Linked DNA regions of Arabidopsis thaliana. The protein of the gene in region 2 purifies or fractionates together with the protein of the main gene of each other region. This does not show direct contact. Each region holds a gene or a part of one and is shown on either strand. Other genes may lie near its edges.

Region 1 (15,739 bases), on a different chromosome or scaffold from region 2:
TGATAAGGAATCTTTAATATCTCAACTTTCTGGGGTACGCTGCTCTGCAAGCCAGACCATTGATAAATTGGAGTTTGAAGCAAAAGGACTGGTTTTAAAGAATGCTGAAACAGAATCAGTGATTTCGAAGTTGAAAGAGGAAATAGATACTTTATTGGAAAGTGTAAGGACATCAGAGGATAAGAAGGTATAAAATAATTTTATATCCCTATGCACTGTATCTAATGCATTCTTGTAATACTATATTTTTCTTGTATATATTGCAGAAAGAATTGTCAATAAAGCTTTCATCATTAGAGATTGAAAGCAAAGATAAGTACGAGAAACTGCAGGCAGATGCACAAAGACAAGTTGGGGAACTAGAGACTTTGCAGAAAGAGAGTGAGAGCCATCAGCTGCAGGCAGATTTATTGGCGAAAGAGGTGAACCAGCTCCAAACCATTATAGAGGAGAAAGGGCATCTAATCCTCCAGTGCAATGAGAACGAGAAGAATATAAACCAACAAATCATTAAGGTCTACAAAGTAAATTCTGGGACATAGGTTTAAGGTTTTTTAGTACTCATCAAATATGAATCCTACTGCAGGACAAGGAGCTACTCGCAACTGCTGAAACTAAGCTTGCAGAAGCAAAGAAGCAATATGACCTGATGCTAGAAAGTAAACAGTTGGAATTATCAAGGCACTTAAAAGAATTATCACAGAGGAATGACCAGGTATATCTGTAGCAATGTTTCCATATATTTAGTAGAATAAGAATCGTGAGGCCCTTAGCTGAATCTGAATGCAATATGCAAAGACACTAAAGCAATTAATTTATCTCTCTATGTTGTTTTTAGGCAATTAATGAGATCAGGAGGAAGTATGATGTAGAGAAGCATGAGATTATTAATTCTGAAAAGGACAAGGTATAATGACTACAGTATCTTTCGTTTTAGTCTTCTGAACAATTGATGATGTTTATTGTGGTTCTAACTCCAGGTTGAAAAAATTATCAAAGAGCTGTCCACTAAATATGATAAAGGACTCTCAGATTGCAAAGAAGAATCAAAGAGGCAACTGCTAACCATTCAAGAGGAACATTCTTCTCGGGTATGTTGGAAATGATTTATGAACTTTTTGGACAAGGCTTCTTTGCGAATCTCTAAGCTAAAGCTACCACATCTTATCATGTTACTGCATTCATGCATTGTTCCAATTGTCTGATAGCATCAATAAATTCCAAAATATCTGATGGTTCTGACCATCACCAAATGAGCTTTGAATGAATTAATCAAATCCGAAACGTTCTTGTATTTCTTGTATGCATTATCTGTTTGGAAGTTTATTTCTGACAGCATGGAAGTTAAAATTACTTTGCATATTAACTCAGAAAAGCTGCGTGTTCCCCAGATTCTCAATATTCGGGAGGAGCACGAGAGTAAGGAGCTCAATCTCAAAGCCAAGTATGACCAGGAACTGAGACAAAATCAGATTCAGGCTGAAAATGAACTGAAAGAGGTACACACAGATATAAATTCATAGCTCAAACAGATGAAAGAATAAGGAGCCTCTGGTATTCGAATATTTTGTATATTTATCCAGAGGATAACAGCTCTGAAGAGTGAGCATGATGCTCAGTTGAAAGCATTCAAGTGTCAGTATGAAGATGACTGCAAGAAGCTGCAAGAAGAATTAGATCTTCAAAGGAAAAAAGTAAGTGCTTTTTAAGATCCATTATAAGATGAATCTTTATGAGTTTAACTTATGGGCTAACCTTGCAGGAAGAGAGGCAAAGAGCTTTGGTGCAGTTACAGTGGAAGGTGATGAGTGACAATCCACCTGAGGAGCAAGAAGTAAACTCAAACAAGGTTAGATTGGACTTCATTTTCTTCCTTAATCGTTATCTATACACTTTAAGATATACAACATTCAGTTGACAATGCAAGTTCTCCTTTCTTTATTTTCATAACGTAAACAGGGTAAGAGATTGACATGGTGTTTATTACCTTGTAGGACTATTCACATTCGTCGGTCAAAGTGAAAGAATCTCGTCTTGGTGGTAATAAGAGAAGCGAGCATATAACGGTGAGGACAGAAAATTATGACGAACAGTCAGAGAATCATAAATATCTTCTTCTTCTTTTCGTTTCCGCTTCGTCAAGGCAACACATTAACACTTTCTCATGGATCATCAAACGCAGGAATCTCCTTTTGTAAAGGCAAAAGTAACATCTGTGTCAAATATATTGAAGGAAGCGACAAATCCAAAGCATCATAGCAAGGTAAACATATGAAGCTTTGCATTTTTACATTGAAATCAACCTCATTGTTTGGCTTGTGGTTCAACTTGGCAGGTAACTCATCGTGAGTATGAGGTTGAAACGAATAATGGGAGGATACCTAAACGGAGAAAAACAAGACAGACAACAATGTTTCAGGTCAGCTTGTCCATCCTGCTATATAGACATATTCAAGATATCTAACTTTACATTGTTTGGCAACAGGAGCCACAAAGACGCAGTACTAGGTTGACACCCAAATTGATGACCCCCACAATCATCGCGAAGGTAAAATACAAATACACTACTTTTAACTGATGCTTTGAAATGAACAAACCCTCACATCAGTCAACTAGTGTTGAAGCAGAGAGTAAAAAAGTAGATTTGATGATAGGAGAAAAATCATATTTTCACAAAACGTTTTATATTCATTTCGTCACACCTTCCTTAATAGTAAAATAGATTAACTGACAGACATAATGGAACAATAGGAGGTCAGACTTAGGGCTGCTTAACCAAGCTTTATGTCTATGCGAGTATAATGTAGAAGTTTTCAGGCCAAGAAGTTATGGATGATGCTAGGTTTCTAAAAACATTTCTGATTTAACTGCATATTATTCTGGTCTTTTAAGCGCAGGAAACAGCAATGGCCGATCATCCTCACTCTGCAAATATTGGAGACTTGTTTTCAGAAGGTTCCCTCAACCCATATGCTGATGATCCCTATGCATTTGATTGAAGTCTACCACACAAAGTCAGTTCCCTATCTCTCTCTCACTTTCAGATACATACTATTTGTGAAAGCTTGCTCACCGATTTACATAAACATTTTGCTGCTTGCATCAACTATCTCATTTTTATAACGTGGAATAACTATATCCTAGTGTTTCAAAAACTTGTAAATGTTGTTAAGAGAAATAATCCGCAATCTGTTTCTGATCCAGTAGCTGTCTTCAAAAAACATTGATAAAACCTTTGCATCAATCAAAAGTGTTAAATCTATTTGTCATCTTTATAGCTGTTTCTATATTTGTAGATTTGGTATACGTTGGTGTTATTAGTGGTTCATTTGCTCTTGAGGTTAACAGTTTTCTGTTGAATTATTGGCATCACAGAACACTGATTCCAAGCGGAGTGCTCTCTGAGACCTGAGAAGAATCACAAGGAAGAAAGTGGAAAGCAGTACAAATCATGTAGATCAGAAGCCATTCATATAAGCATAGAATAAAACTATCAGTATTTGTATATATATACAAACTCATACATTGTATCTAGTTTCACATTCTTGTGCTGTTGGGCTCATTAACATACAGTACCAGTACTTTACATAGTAAGAAAATGGGCTCATAAAAGGCCCACAATTGAAAATGAGTACATGATGTTCTACTGTACATGACTAGGGGCCTATGAACCTAATTTAGAGGAACATATCACGGAGGTTTAGACGAACAAGTTTATTATTTTAAGCAACAAATCGTTTGTTTTAGGCTAGCAATCAAAATTGTATGTATAAATAAGGAAGCTAAGGTAGCTAAATTGATGTGTGTTTGATTAAATAAACTAGATTAAGGGTCAAAAAGTCATGAAATGTGTGCGAATCACATTAAATGGAGAAACAAAAAGATGGCTAGTAAACGCGTCGAAGCCTTTGACCCTTTCCACTTTCTTGTCGCATTCGTTGATACTTTGAGATTTCTGGTAATGGGGAAGAGACCTGATATTTTATATTTTACTCAATTAAGCACTTCATAATTGTTCTTGAACTTTTAGTTGTATAAAGAAAATGTAAAAATTACCGCAATCGTTATGCCATCAAATCCAAAATGGATATGTTTTTCTACGAAACTGCTAATTTCATGCATTAATTTGTGTGAAAACGAAACATTCATTTACTTTTTACTTACTCATAATAATCTCTCTAAGCAAAAATGTTTTATATTTTGTAATATTAAATAAAACTCTTGCGGAATACGTCCTAATAAATATCAAAAACCAAAGGATTGTGTTTTATTTTTCTGGATATTTGTATATCAGGAATAAAATATATATGAATTTTCTAAATAGTTTCGCACATTTTTTCATGTCTGAATAGTAAAAACGCATATAAAAAAATAAAATAGGGATTGTTAAGGAGATGACATAAATGTAAAGGAAGAGGAAGTCAACATGCCAAATAGCCAAGACTAAAATTTTTAAATGGCAGCTTTTTTATTTTCTTTGACCAGATCACTCCTTTTTGCTCCATCCCTTTCTCTCTCTCCTTTTCTTCCCCTAATTTATCTTAACCTTCACCCCCAAAATTCCAAAACCTCTCACTTTTATCCCAAAGTTCCTATTGTCATATCTACACCCTCATTTTACTTTAATACAACGCAAATGTATGTTACAAATTCATCACCTAAACAAAACTACAATTTAAAGGTTAAGCAATTATTGTTACCCAAATTAAATAATCGAAATCTATTATAGTCACAATTTAAAATTCATTCATATGAGGCGTAAAGTAAATATTTATATATATGAAGGACGTTGATGCAATATTAAAAAAATACAGATAGCTTTCAATTTTTATTTTTCTTTCAACTGAATAAAAATATATATATATATATATATAATTTCGCGTAGGAAAAAGACATAAACGAAAAGAGAGCGAAGACTTCGTCGCATAGACTTTGTAGATTTATCGTTGAGAGTACCTCAAACAAAAAAAAATTGAAAACCAAATTAGGGTTTTTAATTTCCAGGTAAAAATCCCCTCTTTCTTATCATCTCCCAGCTGCTCAATGAAGATTTTAATTTCGCTTTCTGAATTTATTTTTTCTGCAGATTGTTTTGTTTATTTGAATAAATCTCCGCAAGTTTCAATTAGGTTGCAAAAATCGAAGAAATTTTCTTCGATTCAAAAAAAATGGGAAAATTTTGTTGCTTCACTTCCGCTTCTGAGGTAATGATTATCGAATTTTTGGCTATATAACAATTTCTTTTTTTTTGTTATGAGATGAAATAATTTTGTCTTAGAAGTGAAAGATCTGAGAGCTTTGTGTTTTGATTGATCTTATTGGTGTGGGTTTTTAGGTTGTGGGAGGACAATCATCATCACGATCAGGTAAAGGAAGAAGTGATGAAGGGATGATCAAGTATGGTTTTAGTCTAGTGAAAGGAAAAGCTAACCATCCAATGGAAGATTATCATGTTGCTAACTTTATCAACATCCAAGACCATGAATTGGGTCTTTTTGCTATTTATGATGGTCATATGGGTGATAGTGTCCCTGCTTACTTGCAGAAACGTCTCTTCTCCAATATCCTTAAGGAGGTAAAAACAAAAAAAAAGGTTACTGTTCTACTGTTCTTGGGTTAATGAACATGTGCATAGCTTTAAGTGTATTGTTTTTTTTATGCAGGGAGAGTTTTGGGTTGATCCTCGAAGGTCTATTGCAAAAGCTTATGAGAAGACGGACCAAGCGATTCTATCGAATAGTTCTGACTTGGGTCGTGGTGGTTCTACTGCTGTGACTGCTATATTGATTAATGGGAGAAAGTTGTGGATAGCTAATGTTGGTGATTCACGAGCTGTTCTTTCTCATGGTGGCGCTATAACGCAGATGAGTACAGATCATGAGCCTCGTACTGAAAGGTCGAGTATTGAAGATAGAGGTGGATTTGTATCCAATCTACCAGGTAAAGAACTTATTTTGAGTATTGAATGTTTAATGAAGATAGAATGATTTTGTTGACAAGGAGGATGATGTGGCTGTGATGTTTTAATAACAGGTGATGTTCCTCGGGTGAATGGTCAATTAGCTGTGTCTCGTGCTTTTGGAGATAAGGGACTTAAGACACACTTGAGTTCAGAGCCTGACATAAAAGAAGCTACTGTAGATAGCCAGACAGATGTTCTTCTCTTGGCTAGTGATGGCATCTGGAAGGTAATAATGGCTTGTTCTCTGTATATATTATTCATCTCTTGTTAAATGAGTGTTTTGAGACCATTTTTGTCTGATTGTTTTGTTGTAATGATCATGTTAATAGGTGATGACAAATGAAGAGGCAATGGAGATAGCGAGAAGAGTGAAAGATCCACAGAAAGCGGCAAAGGAATTAACAGCTGAAGCATTGAGAAGAGAGAGTAAAGACGACATATCTTGTGTCGTGGTCCGATTCAGATGACAAACTCTCTGAAAGGATACTTACGGGGAGATGGGTTCCTTATATAATAATTTCAATCAAAGATTCATCAGGACAAAAAAGCTTGTTTTCACTGGATTCGACTCTGATGATTCTGGTTCGGTTTAGGACCGGTCTAAGTTTCAATTTGTGATTAGCTGCTTCTTGCTATAGCTTATGTGCGTTCGTTGTGTAAATTGTGTGTTTTAAAGACGATAAGAAAATGAACAAAAAAGGAGTGGGGAATGGAGTTTTGTGGTGGGTGATGGGGGGTTTTGTTATTATAATTGGTTGATTTGTTATATTTAATCATCGGGATATAAATATTAGGATGTTTTTACAAATATGTGAAAGTACTTTTGGATTAGGTTTGCATATATATATGTTAACCAAAGTGTTTGCTATTTGTAAGAGATTTACATTGCCAAACAAAATAAGCAAAAGTTATCCTTATCATTGTTGTTGGTAAATGTCATTATCCTTGGAAGGATTAAAAATAAGATGGATCAGTTTACTACAATTTGGTTGTGTTTTGTTGTTATAATTCTAAGCAAAGTCTTTCAGAGATTGAGATGTTGCAAATAGTTGCAGAAATTTATCACTGAAAAGGGTTTCATTATTGAAAGACTTAGCTTAGGCGTTGAAAAACTTTCATTGTGTTTTATTTGTGGAACTGTTTGCAACTGCTATAGAGGAAGATGTACCAAGCAATTCTCGAGTTTTCTTCCTCAGTGCTCCAATGGGATTATAGTATTCATTTGGCTATAAAAAGAAAGAATGAAGAAACGTCGGTGACAAGCAATGATTCTTTAGGTATACTCCGACAAACAAAACCCCAAATGGTGTCTTATATTCTGAAATTTCAACACAGGAGAAGCAAGTTAAGTGTAAAACAGATTCCAACCCATCTTGACTCAGGATATGCATCAAGAGTCGTTTCTTTTCTCGCATAGGATTCAAGATTCAGTTCTGCAATGGTATAGTAACTCCATTAGCAATGCCAAAATGAAAAATATAATCTTCAAGTAGCTTAAATTTTGACATAACTGGCTTTTTCATACCTTTTTCTTGGGGCTCATCACCACTTTTGGATAAGAGGAAACAAAAAAAAAGTTGAGTGTATGATTTGGAAGAGAACAAGAAACTAGTATGCTAATTGGTTTCTTGCAACAAAATTTGCTTGAATTCAACAACTTGGCGTTTAAGCAATGAAAGATCCACAAAGCCGTAAATATGTTCCCAAGCATTAACATTCGAATCAAAGTTTAGGCTCCTCATAACAGTACAAGAACTAACAAAATTTCACAAAAATGGCTTATATTGATTCCAAAGGAAACTATCTATCTATCATCAGAGGAGGCAGATAGGGAAATAAAAAGATTACCTCCTCTCTTTCTGTGAGGTCTAAAGTCCACATGTTGAGATTGTCTCTGAGTAGCTGTATAATAAGAGTCATGTCCTTGTTTGATTCATCACTTACTGTCAAATTCATTAATTGCATCATCGAACGCTTGCTTTGCCAATTGGTATGCACTGTACAACACACAGTTTCACTGATTCAGACTGTTAGTAAGTAACACCACACCGATTTCATTAAATAATCATATGTATGCATGTAAGCAAAGGAACCTTTCAGGAGAGTTTAAGAAAACAGAAGTCCAATTCAAAGTCATGTATAGCTGGAACTGTTGGTACCAAACCAGTCTCTGCAGCAGTAACAACAACCAACATTGCCATTACCAAAACACAAAACATATTGTTCAGTTTATTTTGTTCCGAGCTCAAGGCACAAAAACAAACATGAGCCAAGGACCTTATATGCATCAAGAGACTGATCAGTAGCTTCCTTGCTTTCAGCATTAGAACTGAAGTCTGCCAGCCTGGAAAGAACATAAAGTATAGCCAAAACAGTGCAACACTTTTGCGCCTCAAGCACCACAACAACACATTTTCGCTCACATATTGTAGAAAAGAACAGAGGAGTCCACAGTGGTAGACGATGGAATGAGTTGCTTATTGATGACGGACAGGATGTCATTACAAATTTTGGCAAGCTCATCTTCAACCTTGTTTCGATAATTCTTAAGCTTCTTGACATTTTCCTCATTTCCTTTTGACTCTTCCTTTTGCACAATGGATGATAGTATTTCCAATGAAGCTCTCCTTGCGCTAATCACATTCTTGTACCCCACTGATACAAGATTTCTCTCCTTTGCTGATAGCTCCGCTTTAAGCTGAACACTTTTCTTCATCGCTTTCTTTATCTCTTCAAATGTTTCTGCAACAAAACATTTGGAGTATTGAGTAATGTGAAGGCATGTTAAGATTCAAGAAGTTGTTCTGGAAAAAAAGTACCATTGTAGCGCTCGCTTGACGAAGAGAGACTCGCGAAGTGAACGTGCGTTGATTGTTCATTCTCCATGGCTTTTCTTCTTTTTCTCTCTTAAACAATAGATGCTTGGAGAAGAAGAAACTGTAATCTGTATTTCTTGCTCAAGACTTTTCGATTTCACTCATCATTTTAAAGAATAGAAAAGTAAATGAGCTAATGACAAGTGTCCTATTGGCGCTGGATCCAATAGCATCAAATCTGTTTTGAAGGTTTCAGGTTGATTTGGTGAGAGTTGGCAAAGATCGTCACCATGATCCTCTGTTTATTAGTCAAACCTAATATTTGAAGGTGTTGTCTCTTTGCTTTTGACAGTTGTAGCATTTGTTGTGCTAGCAACAACTCACCTAAAGAATTTAGAAGTTGGGCCAAGTGAATACTTGAATTGATCATTTGTAGCTCAAAATTGAAGTTTTCGATAGATGTATGAAATTATTATTCATTGGACATATAAAAATATTAAAGAAAACACTACAAAATCTCTCGAGGGAAGTGGTCAATTCGTGACAAAAATGTTATTTAGATGGTTGACAAAAAGATATCTGATTCTATAAGGATTAACTGGTTCACAGTTTGATTAACATGTTTTAGACTTTGAGGGCTCTCGATTGGATTAGACACAATGAGTGTTGGTACGAGTTAGAGAGTTTGTGATAGCATTTGGTTACAATTACAACTTACAAGAGTCCCATATTTAGAGCATAGAGATCCTTTTTGAGGGTCATGTTGGGAGAACCAAACCATTATTATGTCACACACTTACGGACCAAACCACCGTAGAGAAACACACTTGAGGATGATTCCTTGGCCACAAAGAGGGCAAACATCCACAAATTGAAAAGTTGTGAAGTTTGGGATCACTTATGCAAATTATTAAGAGCCTCTTGAATTCAGACTTTCATGATTTTTGCAAGGAGTTATTAGTTATTACAAACTTCGAATAAAGCTTTGTCTGTTTTGGTTTTTAATTTTGAGACCATGATACGCCTAATATTCTGATAAACAAAAACCCAAATCATGCCTGCTGGCTCAATTCAACAACAAAAGAAGCAAACTAAGCGTAAAACAGAATTCAACCACATCATAAGAGGGTTGAAGATACGCAACGCAGTGTTGTGTTGTGAAAAGTTCAAGAATCTGGAAAACACCATCAAGAAAGACATAGATTAAAAATTACACATTCGAGTAACAAACAACGACACTTACTGTCTTCACTTCAAGATTCAGGATGCAGCAAGAGTCGTTTCTCTTCTCACAGAGGATTTAGTTCTGCAATGATTCAGTAATTCCATGAGTGGTCTAATTGTCAATGCAAAATGGAAAAATCAGTAAGTAGCTTAACTTATAACAAAACTGGCTTTTCATACCTCATCTTGAGGCTCATCAGCACCTTTGGTTCTCTCATCTAAGAGGGGAAAAAAAAAAGGTGAGTGAAAAAGCTTTGGAAGAGAAACAAGAAACTAGTAATGTTTTCTGCTACAAACATATAACTTTTACAAGATTAGCTAGAATCCAATAACTATGAGATGGTAGATTGGTATGTTTTTTGTTGAGGCTTTCAAAACTAAAATGAAAGATCTACATAGCAATACATGCATAAAGGACGGTTTAATTCAAATATAGACAGATGGTTAATGGTTACGAGTTCCCAAACATCAACATTTTTACTCCAAGGTAACGCTCTTAACAGCTCATTTGATTCTAAGGAAACCATTTGATCATGAGATAGGGAAACAAAAGAAAATAAGAATACCTCCTTCCTCATTAAGGTCTGAAGTCCACAAGGTGAGATTGTCTCTAAGTAGCTGCATAATAAGAGTGCTGTCTTTGTATGATTCCTCGTTGAGGCTGTCAAGTTCAGCAATTGCATCATCGAATGCTTGCTTAGCCAATTGGCATGCGCTGTACAATACATAGTTTCATAGTGTCAGAAAATGACCACAGATTCCACTATTATGTTCAATCCAAAATACAAAAACAAACCTTTCGGGAGAGTTCAAGATCTCATAGTAGAAAACTGAAAAGTTCAACGCCAAGCCAAGTCTAACTGGATGTGTGGGTGCCAAACCATTCTCTGCAGCAGCAACAGCAGCCTACATTCCCAGTACGAAAAAAGCAAGACTTGTCTTAGGTTATTCCCAGCTCAAATATAAGAGGGGTGGCACAAAAATAAGAAAACAAATAAACATGATCAAAGGACCTTATATGCTTCAAGAGACTGATCTGCAGCTTCCTTGCGTTCAGCACCAGAACTGAACTCCGCAAGATAGCGATAGTAATCTCCTTTCCTACATAGAAAGAAAAAAAAACACGTAAAGTCAAAACAGTGAAACAAGGAAAAGTTCATGAATCATCATCATTTCAGGAAGAACACAAGCAAGAGTGGTAGCTATGTAATAACTTAAACATTTAACTTTAGTCAAACGGAAATGATCTCATTCTTAGTCACACAAATATCACATGAATGGTCAGAGTATAATAAAGATGACACTCACATTTTGTAGAAAAAGACAGTTGACTCCACAGCGTTAGACGATGGAATGAGATGCTTATCAATGACAGACAAGATGTCATTACAAACTTTAGCAAGCTCATCTTCAACTCTCTTACGATAATTCTTAAGCCTCTTGACATTTTCATCATTTCCCTTGGACTCTTCCTTCTGCTCAATGGAAGATAGTATTCTCCATGATGCTCTCCTTGCACCAATCACATTCTTGTACCCTACAGATACAAGATTCCTCTCTTCCACAGTTAGCTCCACATCAAGCTGAGCAACTTTCTTCATCGCCTCCACCATTTCTGCATCATCACCAACAAAAAAAAAATATCCGATCTTTGAATTTGCTTCCAAAAACGTAGATCTATTTCATTTTCATGCTAAGAGATTCGACAACAGTAAGTATAAAATTATATCAAGATAAGATCAAGAGTGATCAGAGTATCTAAACAACATTAAACAAGAAATTACTTAAAGGTCGCATCTAAAAGTCCAGATCAAGTAACAGCCCAGAAACATACAAATCGGTAAAGGGCTACAAAGAAAATCTATGGAAATGTAAAAACAATTTCGATCGGAGCAATAAAAGATCGGATTTTTTCAGAAACATGAACAAATCATTTTCTGAATAGAGATCCAGAAATCGGAAAATACCATCGTATCTTTCGGTTTGCTCGGAGAGCTTAGCCAAGTAAACCTGCTTTTCCCTCTCATTCTCCATAGTTTTTTCTTCTTCTTCTTCTTCTTCTTCCTTCTCTGTCTCTCTGAAGTCTGAATCAAAAATGGATGCTTTGATTTGATTGATTTCGAGATTAGTAGTAACCCTAGGATCCTCTCATAGTGGTATTATATCAGCCGTTGGATCTACTTTTTTTAGTCAACAAAACTCAGAAACATAAGTTTTATAAATTATAAAGTAGCCACAAAGGTTTAGTTTTTACACAGAAAGAACCTAAAACTAATATATGTTTCTTATTAAACCCCGATCTAGTCAATAACGTAAAAGGTTAACGACGCTGACCGTGATAAACGGAGAAAGACATGTCCTCTTGTCCATTATTTTAAGGGTTTGTGTTCTTTTCTATATTATATAACACAATCCAAATCATAGATTTTTTTTATGCCAATCCAAATCCAAATCCAAATCAATCACAGATTGAAACTCAAAGAAATTTTCTTTTGAAGAAAAAATTTGGTTTCTGTCAAATGTTTTGTACATGGCCCTTTCAAATTCTATATCCTGTAGTTAGCTACAACACGCTTTTAGTTTGCATAAAATATAAAATCTGAACTAGAATGAGAAAACAATTTGTTCCAGGTAAAAGAAATGGTCACTGAACTCGGTTGATTTGTGAGCTGAAATACTGTTGAAGCTCATTAGTCGTTGTCGGTAGGCTTTTCGTCATTTCTGAATTCGATAGAGTCGCCAAATTCTCCATGTTACCATCTCTTTTCTTCATATCATCGTCGTTGTCCTCAACTCCATTCAGAAAATCTGCATTATCATCTTTCTGCATCAGACTGGTTTTCACTCGATCTGCTTCATTGCCATTCTCTACGGCTTTTGCTTCCTCAAACACCTCACTGCTGGTTCTTCCACTCTCAAGGTACTGCATTGTCTCAGAGTCCATGGAATCAGAGTTACCTAGTAAAGATTCGTTAGCTATCACTGGTTGTTGTCCTAGAGTCTTGTTGTCAGATTGCAAGTAATAATGTTGGTTCTTGCTTGGGGATTCAAGAAGTGATCGTAGATATGTGGAGACTTCCTTGCAGGTTTCAAACTGTTGCCCATCAGGGCTATATAATCAAAAACAAAAGAGAAAATTTTCAGAATCCTGAACTAAAAGTGATAACAACAGCTAGAATCCTAGAACGGCAGAGAGTACACAAACGAACTATAAGCAATTTCAGTAGCAGCCCTTAATTCATGTAAACATCTTTTATCATGTTCAAGAAGATGGAGAAACAAACAAGAGGGACAATCAAAAGTCTAGCAGCAGAAACTAAAACATCATATACCAAATCCTATAAAACTATATCTTCAATAGTAACAAAGTGTTAGTTTTGCTATAACCAATTCCACAGCCAATACTAGGTCTATTTTATAATCCAACTAGAAACAGAACCAGTGAAGAACATAAACATTATTATACCTTATGTATCTGCGACAAGCCAGCAACAAATTGCTACCTTTCCTTTTGATGTAGAGCATAAGTCTCCATCCTCTAGGCAAGTATCCTCCATAATCACAAGCATTCACAACTTTCTTCTTCTTCCCTATATTCACCCATTCACCATTCAATTGTTCCAAGAAACCTAAGATCTCTTCCTTTGTCTTCAACCCAACGGTGATCCTCCTCAGCTCCTCTTCGTATGGATCCTCTGAAACACTAGCCAATGCAGAGAGATCCACAATTGTACCTTCTCTGTTCTCCAAGTTCACTACTAACTCTTCCTTATCAAACGCAGAAATATTCACAATTGCACTGTCTCTCTTCTCTAGGTTCATTATCTCTTCCTTATTCTTTGGAGGACGACCTCTCTTTCTCTTCACTGAATTTGAATCCAGGGAGATTCCTGAACTACCAACTCTACTCACCATTCCCAAATTGCTACTAGTTTTATCTACAAACACATACGTAGATGCTTCACCAGTTAAATCCAAAACCTCATTCTCTTCGCTAGGGTTCCGAATCTTCCTCGGCCGTCCACGCTTCCTCTTTATTTTATTCCCGGAGGTTCCCTGAATCAGAACGTTCTGAATCGAATCAAGATTAGGTCTCTGATAAACATAGCTGTTATAATGGATCTGACCTTCGTTATCTTCGAGCTCTTCCTCTCCTTCGTCTTCTTCCTCTTTACTCTGATTCGAATCGACATTGAACAGAGATCTGAGAAGCGACGCGACTTGCGTTTGTTCTTCACGGGAAGAATCGTCTCTCTGACGTTGCGGCGAAGGAGGTTCCTCCGGTGGTTGAGGGTGGCGCGCAAGGCGGAGACGGAGAAATGTCTGTTTCCGGCTACCAGCGGACTCATTGAAAACGGAGCGATCGATCTTTGGTGTCAAATCGTCGTCTCCACCGGCGGAAGCGGCGAGAGACGCTGAAGAAGATGGAGATAGAGAAGAACACTGAGAGAGAGCGCGAAGTTCTGACTGGGACAAAAGACGCGTATCGATTAACGGCAAAGATTCGGCTGATAAACGATTACCAGCTCCACCGAGGAAGTTATGGTGGTTGTTACCGAGGTCACCGTCGTCCATGGAGGTTGCCGCCGTGAACACGTCAGACGCAAAACGGCGGAATCAAAAAGATGCAAATTCCGATAACTTCCAGTGCCTTCTCTTTTGCTCTCTCGCTTAGACTCGCTCTTAGCTTTTCGGTTCGGTTTTGTACAATTTTCAATTAAACCGGTTATACCAATTGATTTAATTGAATTGAGCTCATATTTGTAGTTTTTTTATAAAGAAATTACTATTTTTTTTTTTTTTTGTCATCAAGAAATTACTATCTTTAAAATGTTGATATTTGATTCTTTTCTGGAATGAAAAAAAAAAAAAAAAAAAACTCCTCTTTTGTTTGACTAAGAAATAAATCCCTCTCATGAATGTCGAATTCTGATTTGATTTGCAAGATTAATGTAATCTTGCCGGTTAAAAAAGTAACTGAGTAAAGCACGTGAAATTTAACCGAAACTTTGGTATTCACAAGTATGAACATATATAATTGCATGTAATCTAGAACATGATCAGTGCAATCGCCAAATAAGAAACCGTGTGGATGATTGTAGATACTAGATAGAAATAGTAAATGGGCCTATAATGGGTCAAAAAACTTTTGTTCTTGACCAACTGAATAAAAAGGTGATTCGGCCTTTGTAACGCTAACGCATCAATAACGTATTACGAATGTATGTGGGCTTCCAGGTAATAAAAAGCTATTGAAACTGAGCCTAGCATGGGTTTTATGAAAAAAGGAAAAAGAGTAATGGGGTGAGAGAGGCTCGAACTCTCGACCTCAGGATCACTCAGTAGCTATGAGACCTACGCGCTAGCCAACTGCGCCACCACCCCTTTGGAATACAAGCTGAATTAATAACTTGTAATACTACATAACACTAGTAGTTCAAAATTACTTTGATCATCTTTATGTTACCATGTCAAAATGCTGAAGTTTTCAGAAGATTGAAAATGTTACATGTGAGCTTTCTAATGAATGACCAAATTAGTTTTTGTGTTAAGAGAGACAGCTAAAATAAGAATAGATAATGGAGAGGGAAGAAATGAAGAATGACAGAAGGAGAGATACACGTGGAGGGATCTGCCAGTTCACGGATTCTCTTCTGTTTCTTCTTTAAACTCCAACTCCAGTTGTCTCCTCTTTAGCCATGCTGGCAAATTTGGCCCAACCTTTTCTCTCTTTAAC
Region 2 (15,187 bases):
AATGATTTTTTATCGCAAACAATTTAGTAAATGCACAACCAAGATCCCAAAAACTCAAATGACACAAATGGAGGGGATTTACCAACGGTGCTTTACATGTCCCACCTAATCACCCATGAGTTGTATAGAACATACCGTACCAATCAAGATGCCTACTAGAAATGAAAATGAAAGAGAGTAAGAAATAATTCAACAAACCTGGGTAACATTTGTGCGGTCAAGACAGTCGATGCAGTTAGATCTGATAACTCCTTTCTGCTCTTCTAGGATGTTCTCGTCTGCGTCTACAAGGAAATATCTGCTCAGCCTGGATTAGTCGCAGGTGAAATAAAATTCTCTATATAGCAGCGCTAGCTAAATTAAACCAAACGAACAACCTCTGACTGCTAACCATATCAACTCAGTTTCTAGATCTGAAATGAGTAGAACCAAAACCGTAATTCTTACCCTTGCTTTTCAAATTCATCCCCAATCTGCTCATACAGTACCCCCAGGTTGTCGAAGTTTGTAGTTCCACAGACTTGATGGAAGTCAAAGGAGACATATCTGAGTCATAAACTATCATTAATTTGATGTGTACGATCGAGGAACAATTTGAATCAAGAGAAGGTAAAAGATATCCAAACAAACGACAAAATGTTCAAGTGTCACGAAATAGCAAAAATTCACAGTGTACGCTAAGAGGTATCCCGAACGATAACCAAATACAGAAATGATAAGACTGACGGGTAGAAGGTAAATGCGTCGATGTGCATACAGATTTTTACCTCACATCAGGAAGCTTCTCCATCTCGGTGGCATATGCTTTGCTTAATGCACCTTCATCTCCATGCTAATAAGTCACGTGTGAGAGACAAAGTTAATCATACAATGAAAGTAAGTAAGTGAAAATTCCAGAGCAGAAACTGTACTAGAGGTGGAGTTCAGATGTCATAGATTTCAAAGTGCACATATGTTTAGTGCCATTTAATTTTGTTTTCAGGAATGGGGAACAAAGAAATTAACCTGATCTGTTAGGTCAACTGCCATAATTTCTCCATATCTTTGGCAAAGATCATGGAAATGGCGCTGTACAACTTTTGGCTGGAGGCAGAAATTTAGCTTATTAAGATTGAGTGCTGGACATCATATAATTAATCTAGTAAGAAAATCATAAAAAGGTACCGTCTCTTCATGCTTATTTATCTTAAGCCGTGGCTTATAACTCAAATCAACGATCTGCTCCCAAAGAAGTGGGATTGAACCTCGAACCTAGTCAGTGAAAGCAAGACAGTTACAATCGCAAGAAATGAAAGGGAACCTTAAACACAGAGAAAGAGAAAAGCAAGGTATAATAAACTAAGTTGAGAGATGAAGAACCCAAATAATGAAACAGTGCATTTTCAAGCATATCAAATTTTTAAAAAAACAGTGTAACCATTCAGCTGAAATGAGTTACATAGGATATTAGTTTTCCAGGGCTATGAAAGAAACCCCACACAGCATTTCATATCATCAATAAATATAATTCCACAGCTACTGCAAATAAACCAGTATCGAAGCATGAAACTATCATTTTAAGAAGACACTGCACATGAATGAGATCCTAACAAGGATATACCTGCAATAATGAGAACTTGAAACCATTAATCTCCACTATTTGTTCAGATTCGACAAAATTAGCAGCGTCCCCTTCAAGATTGGCTCCTCTTCTCCACATACGTGTACCTGGGATGCCAATTCCAATAAGACTGTCAAACAAACATGGATGCCACTGAATTTTCTGGCAGAACTAATTAAACCCTACCTAGACGTCGTGTACAGCGCCTGGACATTATCGATACCACAGCAGGAGAATTCTTGAGCTTTAGCTCAGCAACTTGGTAACTTAAGCCTTGGTTAATATCAAACAACATGTATTGGAGTACTGTCTATTAAAAAGCATATTTGAAAAACGCAACATTACATCTATAAACAGTCCAAGAACAAGCTAAACAGAAGATTAAGAAGATAAAGAAAAGGATATTTCCTTGAAGTATAGGAATAATAAAACCATCCAGCTGCCACAATAAGAGAAGGTTAGATCATTAACGTTTGACAAGGAATGAAAATCAATTAAATTTAAACCACACAACTTACTTTGCATTCAATTAAGTCCTCCAAAAGATGCCAGTTCCAAACATATCGAGGGTCAGCCTGACAAGCAAATAAACCTTCAGCCTAACTTTAACGCGATGAACTTAAATTCAGACACTGGATCCAAAGAAGATACTTTTTTTAAAGATAAAAAATCATACGAATAAACAACCTGCTTCCACATAGGCTTACGATTCCAACCTTCAGCTAGCTTGCACCTTCTTTGAAGACTGTAAAATTGGATGAATGTATCTAACTCAAGCCGCGGAACTACTTAAAACTCTTAATATCATGAGATAGTGAAACTTACTTCAATGTTAGATCTGTTTCATACGAAAAATACAATCCAGGGGTTGTCTCAAGTGCTTGTAACAGAGTCCTAAAATATGTTTCGTCCTTTTTCTGCAAAAGCCAGTGACCAAGTTCTTTAGACAACTTAACTTGTTCATAAACTCCAAAACCCCTACAAAATCGTATATCGATTGAAATTCACAATAACCTTACTTCTTGAGCAGTAGCAAACCTCAAAGCCTCATTGCAAGGTAAGAATTTCATAGCCGTAACTCTAAAAATCGGTAAACCGAGAAAATTTCCAACTTCCTCCCGAGACGTTATAACTAGCAAGTATGTTCCTATATATGAATGAAATCGAAACCAGCATATAAAAATCACTGTTGGATCCCAACACAGTACATAGAGAAATGTTGAAAAACATTTTCCACCTGCTAAGAGCCTAATAGTTCCTCCTACGCCATAGATAGTAGAGACTCTAGTAGGACTCCCAGAAGATGCGTTTTCTGCAGTAACAAAGAAACAGTAACATCAAATACACTACAACAGCCTAATACTCTTGCTTCATATCATCTCTTGCCAAATTTTGTCTTGAAACCAAAACAGGGAAGGGAGAGAGCTGAGAATGAAGAGTGGATTACCATCAAGAGGTTTGATATTGCCATCGCGCCGATTGACGGAGAAGCCTTCCTCAGGCGATTCGATGGGTTTGACGACGTACTTGTCAGGAAACTCCAGAAGCTCGAATTGATCGTAGAGCTTGAATCTACTTGTAGATGGAGCAATCTCCATTAACGTAAATTATGAGATTTCAAATAAATTTTTCAAAATAGGAAAAATAATTTGAAGGATGATGATGATGATGATGCTGTTGGAGTTTGTTCAATTAAGAACTGGATCAGGAGAAACAAAAAAAAATGTCAATGATTGTTCATTATTTTTCTTCAAAGTTGACTGTTGCCACGTGTCTCTCAACCGGATACTAGTGGGCTTCTTTGGGCCTGAAATTTAAACTGTGCCCAATAGTCTTTCGTCCGGACAAATTGTTACAGTAGTTAAATCAAAGGCCACCAAAACTGTTACGTAGACATTTAAAGCGAATCTCCATCACCTACCGACTCTTCCTTGATTTGATTGTTCCACATGTAGTAAAAATAGAGACTTGAAGGTAATTTTGCCTTGAGGGAACATGAAGAGACTGAAGGTTGATATTTTTATTAGAAAGTTAAAAAAATTATTTCAGTTAATATTATATTTATAGGATATATATTAAAAGATATATCACGGGCTTATATTTTTATCAAATACATGAATTTTTTGTTTTTAAGATATCAACTACAACTAGATGTATCATAATCCCCTTGTTAGATTTATTATTCTTTTTGTCTTAATATCTTATAATAGTTAATAGTCATTAATAAAGAAGTAATAGCTTTCATTGAAGTGAGTCTACTCTAAATAGGATTTCCACAGTAGGAAAACTAGACATCAGGAAATCTATTCAATCAAGACGACTTATGTAGTAGAGTAATCCCCGAAGGTATTGAGCAACTATAGATATATGTTATTGATTATTTAATGTATGATACAATTCGGGATGATTTTATAATTAAAAGATTTGAAATTTGAAATTATATTTATTTTGTTAATATTGTTAGTTTTGGTTAGCTTTTAAAATTGTGTATTTGTATTTTTATTGTTAAATTTTATGATTTCACCCGGTATATATCATCCCATATTAATATTAGATTTATTTTTTGGGCTTTATTTGGGTTTTCGATTTAAACTGGGCCCATTCTGCTTCAATGAAACCCTAATGGGTTTTGTTTGGGCTTTGGATTTAAACCGGGCCCATTCTGCTTCAATGAAGGTCCTTTGTCCAACAAAACTAACATCCGACACAACTAGTATTGCCAAGAGGATCGTGCCACATGGCAGTTATTGAATCAAAGGCCGCCAAAACTGTAACGTAGACATTACTTATCTCCGGTAACGGACAACCACTCGTTTCCCGAAACAGCAACTCACAGACTCACACCACTCCAGTCTCCGGCTTAACTACCACCAGAGACGATTCTCTCTTCCGTCGGTTCTATGACTTCGATTCTCAACACTGTCTCCACCATCCACTCTTCCAGAGTTACCTCCGTCGATCGAGTCGGAGTCCTCTCTCTTCGGAATTCGGATTCCGTTGAGTTCACTCGCCGGCGTTCTGGTTTCTCGACGTTGATCTACGAATCACCCGGTAGTTAGCATTCTGTTGGATAGATTGATGAATGTTTTCTTCGATTTTTTTTTTACTGATCTTGTTGTGGATCTCTCGTAGGGCGGAGATTTGTTGTGCGTGCGGCGGAGACTGATACTGATAAAGGTATGATTTTTTAGTTGTTTTTATTTTCTCTCTCTTCAAAATTCTCTTTTCAAACACTGTGGCGTTTGAATTTCCGACGGCAGTTAAATCTCAGACACCTGACAAGGCACCAGCCGGTGGTTCAAGCATTAACCAGCTTCTCGGTATCAAAGGAGCATCTCAAGAAACTGTAATTTTGTTCATCTCCTCAGAATCTTTTAAATTATCATATTTGTGGATAATGATGTGTTAGTTTAGGAATTTTCCTACTAAAGGTAATCTCTTTTGAGGACAAGTCTTGTTTTTAGCTTAGAAATGATGTGAAAATGTTGTTTGTTAGCTAAAAAGAGTTTGTTGTTATATTCTGTATTCAGAATAAATGGAAGATTCGTCTTCAGCTTACAAAACCAGTCACTTGGCCTCCACTGGTTTGGGGAGTCGTCTGTGGTGCTGCTGCTTCAGGTAATCATACGAACCTCTTTTGGATCATGCAATACTGTACAGAAAGTTTTTTCATTTTCCTTCCAATTGTTTCTTCTGGCAGGGAACTTTCATTGGACCCCAGAGGATGTTGCTAAGTCGATTCTTTGCATGATGATGTCTGGTCCTTGTCTTACTGGCTATACACAGGTCTGGTTTTACACAACAAAAAGCTGACTTGTTCTTATTCTAGTGCATTTGCTTGGTGCTACAATAACCTAGACTTGTCGATTTCCAGACAATCAACGACTGGTATGATAGAGATATCGACGCAATTAATGAGCCATATCGTCCAATTCCATCTGGAGCAATATCAGAGCCAGAGGTAACTGAGACAGAACATTGTGAGCTTTTATCTCTTTTGTGATTCTGATTTCTCCTTACTCCTTAAAATGCAGGTTATTACACAAGTCTGGGTGCTATTATTGGGAGGTCTTGGTATTGCTGGAATATTAGATGTGTGGGTAAGTTGGCCCTTCTGACATTAACTAGTACAGTTAAAGGGCACATCAGATTTGCTAAAATCTTCCCTTATCAGGCAGGGCATACCACTCCCACTGTCTTCTATCTTGCTTTGGGAGGATCATTGCTATCTTATATATACTCTGCTCCACCTCTTAAGGTAAGTTTTATTCCTAACTTCCACTCTCTAGTGATAAGACACTCCATCCAAGTTTTGGAGTTTTGAATATCGATATCTGAACTGATCTCATTGCAGCTAAAACAAAATGGATGGGTTGGAAATTTTGCACTTGGAGCAAGCTATATTAGTTTGCCATGGTAAGATATCTCGTGTATCAATAATATATGGCGTTGTTCTCATCTCATTGATTTGTTTCTTGCTCACTTGACTGATAGGTGGGCTGGCCAAGCATTGTTTGGCACTCTTACGCCAGATGTTGTTGTTCTAACACTCTTGTACAGCATAGCTGGGGTACTCTTTTGGCAAACCTTTTATGTTGCTTTTTTCGTTATCTGTTGTAATATGCTCTTGCTTCATGTTGTACCTTTGTGATAATGCAGTTAGGAATAGCCATTGTTAACGACTTCAAAAGTGTTGAAGGAGATAGAGCATTAGGACTTCAGTCTCTCCCAGTAGCTTTTGGCACCGAAACTGCAAAATGGATATGCGTTGGTGCTATAGACATTACTCAGCTTTCTGTTGCCGGTATGTACTATCCACTGTTTTTGTGCAGCTGTGGCTTCTATTTCTTTTCCTTGATCTTATCAACTGGATATTCACCAATGGTAAAGCACAAATTAATGAAGCTGAATCAACAAAGGCAAAACATAAAAGTACATTCTAATGAAATGAGCTAATGAAGAGGAGGCATCTACTTTTATGTTTCATTAGTGTGATTGATGGATTTTCATTTCATGCTTCTAAAACAAGTATTTTCAACAGTGTCATGAAATAACAGAACTTATATCTTCATTTGTACTTTTACTAGTGGATGAGTTACACAATCATTGTTATAGAACCAAATCAAAGGTAGAGATCATCATTAGTATATGTCTATTTTGGTTGCAGGATATCTATTAGCATCTGGGAAACCTTATTATGCGTTGGCGTTGGTTGCTTTGATCATTCCTCAGATTGTGTTCCAGGTAAAGACGTTAACAGTCTCACATTATAATTAATCAAATTCTTGTCACTCGTCTGATTGCTACACTCGCTTCTATAAACTGCAGTTTAAATACTTTCTCAAGGACCCTGTCAAATACGACGTCAAGTACCAGGTAAGTCAACTTAGTACACATGTTTGTGTTCTTTTGAAATATCTTTGAGAGGTCTCTTAATCAGAAGTTGCTTGAAACACTCATCTTGATTACAGGCAAGCGCGCAGCCATTCTTGGTGCTCGGAATATTTGTAACGGCATTAGCATCGCAACACTGAAAAAGGCGTATTTTGATGGGGTTTTGTCGAAAGCAGAGGTGTTGACACATCAAATGTGGGCAAGTGATGGCATCAACTAGTTTAAAAGATTTTGTAAAATGTATGTACCGTTATTACTAGAAACAACTCCTGTTGTATCAATTTAGCAAAACGGCTGAGAAATTGTAATTGATGTTACCGTATTTGCGCTCCATTTTTGCATTTCCTGCTCATATCGAGGATTGGGGTTTATGTTAGTTCTGTCACTTCTCTGCTTTCAGAATGTTTTTGTTTTCTGTAGTGGATTTTAACTATTTTCATCACTTTTTGTATTGATTCTAAACATGTATCCACATAAAAACAGTAATATACAAAAATGATACTTCCTCAAACTTTTTATAATCTAAATCTAACAACTAGCTAGTAACCCAACTAACTTCATACAATTAATTTGAGAAACTACAAAGACTAGACTATACATATGTTATTTAACAACTTGAAACTGTGTTATTACTACCTGATTTTTTTCTATTCTACAGCCATTTGATATGCTGCAATCTTAACATATCAAGTCTCACGTTGTTGGACACAACATACTATCACAAGTAAGACACGAAGTAAAACCAACCGGCAACCGCATTACATAACATAACCGCATACCATTTGAACGGTACAACACTGCCGTTAGTACAAGCCATACATAGTTATATCACACACATATAAAACACAAAAAACCTAAACGCGCTACATTAGACCCTAGTTAAAATCCACGCTGCCAAACACGGAACCTACAAGCAGGTTACTTATTAGATGATATATAACAGACTGTTGCAGCGGACACTAGTAGCTCGTAACTACTATCACTTGTTGGTGAACTTTGACTCATCGATCTCAATCCCTTCTTCCTCCGCACGCTCTCCACCAGATTTTTCCATCGTACTGAGTCCTCCTTTACGTCCCATCTCCTTATAACCCTCGTGCCCTAGCTGCTCCTTCCTCGCCTCTCCTCCTTTGTGTCCCATCTCCTGATAACCCTCGTGCCCTAGCTGCTCCTTCCTCGCCTCTCCACCTTTGTGACCCATCTCCTGATAACCCTCGTGCCCTAACTGCTCCTTCCTCGCCTCTCCACCTTTGTGACCGATCTCCTGATAACCTTCATGTCCTAGCTGCTCCTTCCTCGTCTGCCCTCCCTTGCTCCTTCCTAACAAGTGTACATACATGCATTCCATGAAACATGGAGATCATAGAGTAAACTTTAGGTTCGTAATAAGTAGATTAATCTTATCTTAAGATATTAAGATCTAATGTTTCTAGCCTTATAAAACCATTACTTACGAACTAAAGAAAATAAAAAGAGTGTGGAAAAGTTGTAATTTACGGCAATACCTTCAGCAAGATGCTCTTGAGCTTCGAGGCTGTGGCCACCGGTGCCACCTGGGACGACGGTCTCTCCTTGCTTCGCCTTCTCATCAAGCTCTTCTCTGCTCAGTTGCTTTGACGCCATTTTTTGAAGAAAAAAACACGAACGATATGTAATTAAGTAAGTTGCTTTTAATTTGGATCTATGTTCCGACACAGATACGGACGACGTAATTATTCCTATAAATAGAAACGTTTGTGTTCCAAAGGAAACAAAAGGAGAGAAAAAGTGAAGTGCTACGTGGAAGAGAAGACGCGGCGAGACTAGAAATAATGGGCTTTACGGAGATGACACGTTGATGCTTACTCAGTCAACTTGCTACAGTTATTAACGAGCTGCTTGACACGACTCCGATTAATCTTAATCCATTTTCTGTTTCCCCCAAGAAATCAAGATAATTACCCACATTTGGGATTTTTTATAAAACTGTTTTCCGTGTTAGGTCTTTTCAATATCAGTTAGATAGTACTATTATTTATCTATTTGAAATCTAAGTGCAATATTTCGGATAAATATGTTTTAAAGTTAAAAGTTTTATATTTATTCACATCATAAGAAAAATATAGGTGTTATTAGAAGAAGAGATTTATAAATCGATCACACATAATAACTGGGAAGAGAAGGTAGCTTCGAGGATTAGTTGGTTTACTTGTCGACAAAGTCATATCTACCATGTAATAATTAGGTCTTTTTCAAGTTTTGAGTTTGGAGACATTTATTTGAGTTTGACTTTGGTCTTATTATATGCTTGGGCTATTGTACACGTTTGACTCATGCTGATTAGAGTATGTATAGTTAAATATAATAATTAAAATGTTAGAATCTGGTGTGGATTAGACTTTCGCGACATTGTTGAAAATTTGTGAATGCATCTATCTAAAAGTTGGTTTAGTGGAGTTTCTATGTGCACAACTGAAGTACATCACTATATTTGGACAATATTGAATTATATTTGAATTTATTGTCTTGAAGAATAATTTGCAACATTACATACCAAATGTTGGCTCTCTTACGGAGAGCGTATAAGCGCCACTTGACGTGGGCTTATATGGGCCCGGTTAAGGGTAAATGTTTAGTGGCCACAATTCTGAAACAGCTTCCCTTCTTCGGCCCATACTGGAGTACAAAAGTAACGCAATTAAGAAAAAGCGTTACAGGATTAATCCAAAACGGCATCGTTAGAAGAAGAGAGCACACATAGCGAAAACCCTAGTACCTTTATTTGAGCCAACACTTTCATTTCTCTCCTTCTCCACCAGTTTTCCCCCAATCGCTCCTCCTTAAACCCTAACATTTTTGCTTCCCCTGTTTCGATTCTCGAGAGTTATCAGAGATGAGTTCGGACGATGAGAGAGACGAGAAGGAGCTGAGTCTTACCTCTCCTGAAGTCGTCACCAAGTACAAGAGCGCCGCTGAGATCGTTAACAGTAATACACCCTCTCTTTCTTCCTTTCTTGTTTTAAGTCCGATTTGGATTTAGGGTTTTGAAGGTGTAGCTTTATCGAGTATTGATTTCTGTTGGGTTTTCAATTGCAGAGGCGTTACAGGTTGTTTTAGCTGAATGCAAACCAAAAGCTAAGATTGTTGATATCTGTGAGAAAGGAGACTCTTTTATTAAAGAGTGAGTATATCTCAATTTGTTCTTAATGTAGATTCGACCTTGGATTACTCTTAGATATTTATGTGTTTGTTCTTTCTTCTGTTTTTGTATTAAAGGCAAACAGCAAGCATGTACAAGAATTCTAAGAAGAAGATTGAGAGAGGTGTTGCGTTCCCTACATGCATTTCTGTGAACAACACTGTTGGTCATTTTTCACCGCTTGCTAGTGATGAGTCTGTGTTGGAAGATGGTGACATGGTTAAAATGTAAGTTGTCTTCAAGTAATACCTGTTTTTAGATGTTTCTGTATGATTCACCTGTGTTATTTCTGATGTTGTTTTGCGTTTCTCAATTGCAGCGATATGGGATGTCATATTGATGGGTTCATTGCCCTTGTTGGTCACACACATGTTCTTCAAGAAGGGCCTCTTAGTGGGCGTAAGGCTGATGTTATCGCTGCCGCAAATACTGCAGCTGATGTTGCTCTAAGGCTCGTACGTCCTGGAAAAAAGGTATCATCAGTTTTACTCTTACATTAAACTTGAAACTATAGGCTTTTGGTACTATAACTGCCTCTTGAATGATTGTCAAGGTTTTACAAAACCCAGATGATGAACACTTAATAAATGGCTATGGATTATTATCCATATGATGCTTTTTTGTCATAGTTACTCTGATGGGATTTTTCTTATTCTGATTTTTAGTCTGATCCCTCGTTGGATTTACTATGAGATGTTGGAACTTTGTCTAAGGTTTTCCTCTCTTGGTCTTGCACGATGCTTTTTTTTTTTAGCGGACTTCAAATGTAAATTGTTTTGGGAAAAGATTTCTGGATGAAGACCGTAATTGTTATGGATTCGCATCCAAATGAGGCCGTAGTTACTCTGATGTGGGAAAGTTCTTTAAAATAAAGTTTCTTGCTACGAGTTTGTAGTTTCTTGTTTAGTACTACAACATATTGCAATCAAGACATTGATATTCTGTTTTTCTTATCGCAGAACACTGATGTAACTGAAGCTATTCAGAAGGTAGCTGCAGCTTATGACTGCAAAATTGTTGAAGGTGTTCTTTCCCACCAGCTGAAACAGCATGTGATAGATGGAAACAAGGTTGTGCTTAGTGTATCCAGCCCTGAAACAACTGTTGACGAAGTGGAATTTGAAGAGAATGAAGTCTATGCAATAGATATTGTGGCAAGTACTGGTGATGGCAAGGTAATTTCTTTTGTTTATCGCATCCCGATCACTATTGGTGAACCTTTGTCTATTGCCATTGTTCTCACAATCTTTGACTTTGCAGCCAAAGCTATTAGACGAGAAGCAAACAACTATTTACAAGAAAGATGAAAGTGTTAACTATCAGTTGAAGATGAAGGCCTCCAGATTCATAATCAGCGAAATTAAACAGAACTTCCCCCGTATGCCATTCACTGCAAGGTGTCTTTTGTACCTTCTGAAGCATTTTATATTCCTTAAACTATTATCTCACTTGCTAACGTTACCTGAGAGTATTATCAATACAGGTCACTGGAGGAGAAAAGGGCACGGCTTGGACTTGTGGAGTGTGTGAACCATGGTCATTTGCAACCATATCCTGTTCTTTACGAGAAGCCTGGTAAGGATGATGAAAGGGTTTTGAATCTATAAACCTCTTTTATCTGAATCTTGATATCAAGGCTCATGTCGTTTTGGTTTTCTACCAGGGGATTTTGTTGCTCAGATTAAGTTCACAGTTTTGCTGATGCCAAATGGATCAGATAGGATCACTTCACATACACTTCAGGAACTTCCTAAAAAGACCATCGAAGACCCTGAGATCAAAGGGTGGTTAGCTTTGGGCATCAAGAAGAAGAAAGGTGGTGGAAAGAAGAAGAAAGGTAAGAACTTAAAATAAATTTCCAGACTTTTACCTTATATGACGTGATCCACATGTTGATTAAAAAGGTTCAATTTGGTGTTTTGCAGCCCAAAAGGCGGGAGAGAAAGGAGAGGCTTCAACAGAGGCTGAGCCAATGGACGCAAGTAGTAATGCTCAAGAATGAGTAGGAAGATTTGTCTTTGTTTCTTTTAAAGAATTTTTGAAACTTGAGGTACCTCTTTCGTTGTATGTTTGGGTTTCAAGAGAGTCTCTTCTTAAACAAAAAAAAACAAACAATAGTTTACCACCTTTGTGCATATTTTTGCACAAAGCACTTTTCATCATCATTTCTTTGCTTGTCCTAATCTTATCTCATTCTCTAATCAAAAATACTTATCTGGTTTCAGGCTATAACAATAACTCTGTTTAGAAACACTTGTTACCAACAAACTACTCTTTGAATGTGTTTACGTGGTAAGGATTTGATCCCACAGAAGAGAAATATTTGTGACAGAAGAAAAAAACTCAGCTCTTCAATAATCGAAGCTTATACAGATTTTTGGATTGGTTGATTTTGAGATTGTAACGAATAGTAATCAGAATTTCACTTAAGAAATTGTGATTGAACCCTCTAAACCACAGAGAGGGTTCTTGACGTGGTCCATAGTTCTTCAGTGGGGCGGCTTGTGGCTTCTTTTTCATTTTTCCAGAAAACCCCATAAACCTCTCGCTCTCGGGAATTTGATTGATTCCCACGAGGAAAAATCAATCTTCCCGGAAAATGGCAGCTAGGTTATTGTTCCGTCGAAGTTCTCAAATCCTCCGATCAATTCAACGAAATCCTCAAATCTCATCGTCATTCGAATCACCACCTTGCCCGATTTTTCACTCATTGACCACCGCCTCACCAGATCCATCGCGATTATCATCCTTAACCTTCCTCCGATCTCTCTCCATCGCTCGTCGCGGTCCAACACGTCCTAAGAAAATCGATATCGGAGCCAAAGCGCGTCAGATGCAGAATCGCCGTTTATGGACCTACGCGCTAACCTTCAGCTGCATCGCCGGATTCGTAGTTATCGTCCTTAACCAATTTCAGGATCAGCTTGTCTTCTACCTAACGCCATCAGACGCTATGGAGAAATTCGCAGAGAATCCAACAAAGAACAAATTCAGACTCGGTGGTTTGGTTCTAGAAGGTAGCGTTGCGCAGCCGGCGGCGTCACAGGAGATGGAGTTTGTGATCACTGATCTGATCACTGATATTTTGGTTAGGTATAAAGGATCTTTGCCGGATCTGTTTAGGGAAGGTCATTCAGTTGTGGTTGAAGGATTCATTAAGCCGTATACAGATGAAGTAAGGAAGGAAGTTTCTACAAAACCTATTTCGAAGAAAGCTAGGAACCTCGATTGTTTCTTCTCGGCGACTGAAGTTTTGGCTAAGCATGATGAGAAGTATATGCCACAGGAAGTTGCGGCGGCGATTGAGAAGAATAAGAAAATTATTGAAGCGGCGGCGACTGAACAAGCTGCTGAAGTTGCGGCTTCTTAGATTGGTATAAACTTCATTCTTTTTAAGTTAATCAAAATTTTCCCCAAGTTCGAGCTTTTGGTGAGTATTGTTCATCTTATAAGGTTATATTTGATTATAGTTTCTGGAAAAGAGTAGGAAGATTGGAATGTTATATTCCTGGAAAACAGAGATTTGATTTTTGAGTCTATTTGAGAATTAAGTGGAGAAATGTGATACACTATACAATAGCTTTGTTTGATTCCACAAAGCTATAAGCTAATCTACTTTCTTGTTGTGTTGATCAAATAAAGAACACTTTGACGAGGGATCAAATATGCTGCTTGATTCATTGTGTTGTTGGATGTTTTGTTTGTTGTTGATGTGCACACAGATTAGAGAAGCTATGTTTTGTTGCTGCACACAGATTAGATTGATCTAGTGAATCTTATTAGCTTCATCAGGTCGTGGGTATATAATTGTAAACGTATCACCAAAGTTGTAGCTTGTGTGACCTTATTCTTATCATGACTAGGTACTATAGCCAAAAGAGTTGAACATACAGGTCTTTCAGAGCTTCCTCTTAGTTGTTCTGGAGGTTCCAAGCTCTTTCTTTGTTGTTTTATAAATATGGGTTGAGCTTGTTGACAATCTTGAAGATGGTCATGCATTCCTTTTATGCATCTTATGTTTCAACTAGGCAATTCTGGCCCTGGAGATTTCAAGTTTGTACTTTCTGAGTCGATTAGGTGCCTAGTTTTTGCCTCTAGAATCATGGCATTGGCTTCTGTTTTGGCACTTCTCTTAGGCTTGTTGGTTGATAACCAACTACTAGTCTACTAATGTAGCTGTAGTTTGAAGTGTTCCGCAGTTACGCTATTGCTTTTGCTTTTTTTAAGTGCATCTTTATATATGCATCAGTCTCTCATTGTATAGCAAATTTATCGTGGGTGGTATATGATTCAGTCAACAAAAACTGACTATCAAGTATGGAACGAGTGGTATATGATTGAGTCATCAAAAATACTGACTATCAAGTATGGAACAAGAGCATTACGATATTTGTCACTACTATATTCGATTGCTATTGTGTGCTTGGTCCATTTTGAATATGGGACAAATCACCATTACTATACTTGCTGCCCTATACTAACTAGATTATTCCATATTCCTCGTAGATAGTTTTTGTTTTTTGGTTCAGAGAAAGTTCAGATTTTAGGCCTATAAGTTCTTTTGGTTGGGGACCATATCAAGTTAAATCTCTCACTATATGCATTGTGGCGGTTCGGCCGACCTGTCTAAAATTGGGCTTGTTCAAATCCTGCCTCAAATCCTGCCAAAGCGTGAGTTATATACATATACATTGACACTGAATCATTCCATCCAGGGCCGGTTGGCTGGATCCAAAATCAGTCGTTACCTATTTTTGGCAATCTTAAACTTATTGATTTTTTTTTTCTGACGTTTCACAAATCATCATCATATGTGAAAAACCAAAACATCTATATTAAGAAGAAAAAAAATATTGTTACAATTTCTGAAAATATTTGGTTCATTTAGTCCTTAAAAATTCTAATTACCAAAAAAGACAAATATATAACAATTGAAACACATGTGTGTTATCAGGAGAATTTGTATGTTTTGAGGAGGTGTGCATCATCCGTCTATCAATACCCTGACAAGGAAA

Evidence for each region.
Region 1: the proteins of EM1 (region 2) and AT1G22290 purify together in Arabidopsis thaliana (affinity purification with western blotting, with the first as the bait; one study listed by BioGRID). This does not show direct contact.

Annotation. Positions count from the first base shown.
Region 1 is NC_003070.9:7,869,068-7,884,806, forward strand, and holds AT1G22290 (14-3-3 family protein), read right to left. Parts: upstream 8,896-15,739; 5' UTR 8,849-8,895; coding exon 8,782-8,848; intron 8,705-8,781; coding exon 8,386-8,704; intron 8,307-8,385; coding exon 8,240-8,306; intron 8,133-8,239; coding exon 8,056-8,132; intron 7,960-8,055; coding exon 7,907-7,959; coding exon of another isoform or gene 7,899-7,906; intron 7,831-7,898; coding exon 7,763-7,830; 3' UTR 7,573-7,762; downstream 1-7,572. Other genes in the region: ZYP1b (Myosin heavy chain-related protein), read left to right, coding at 1-187, 267-515, 587-715, 839-907, 981-1,091, 1,392-1,499, 1,584-1,694, 1,763-1,849 and 5 more; PAPP2C (phytochrome-associated protein phosphatase type 2C), read left to right, coding at 5,169-5,204, 5,336-5,593, 5,664-5,940, 6,034-6,188, 6,292-6,429; GRF10 (general regulatory factor 10), read right to left, coding at 10,079-10,084, 10,183-10,220, 10,569-10,717, 10,799-10,908, 11,016-11,103, 11,311-11,617, 11,970-12,036; MBD8 (methyl-CPG-binding domain 8), read right to left, coding at 12,647-13,112, 13,469-14,577.
Region 2 is NC_003074.8:19,208,248-19,223,434, reverse strand, and holds EM1 (Stress induced protein), read right to left. Parts: upstream 8,714-15,187; 5' UTR 8,618-8,713; coding exon 8,500-8,617; intron 8,315-8,499; coding exon 7,974-8,314; 3' UTR 7,604-7,973; downstream 1-7,603. Other genes in the region: SAC8 (SAC domain-containing protein 8), read right to left, coding at 199-298, 448-546, 768-832, 1,006-1,083, 1,165-1,251, 1,601-1,707, 1,787-1,867, 2,006-2,039 and 6 more; G4 (UbiA prenyltransferase family protein), read left to right, coding at 4,501-4,651, 4,733-4,777, 4,861-4,946, 5,131-5,218, 5,301-5,386, 5,475-5,561, 5,635-5,700, 5,775-5,858 and 6 more; ATG2 (metallopeptidase M24 family protein), read left to right, coding at 9,867-9,960, 10,070-10,154, 10,250-10,399, 10,492-10,645, 11,132-11,347, 11,433-11,569, 11,656-11,747, 11,809-12,009 and 1 more; G1 (transmembrane protein G1P-related 1), read left to right, coding at 12,772-13,542. UniProt on the Arabidopsis thaliana protein: It is thought to provide protection for the cytoplasm during the desiccation stage of embryo development.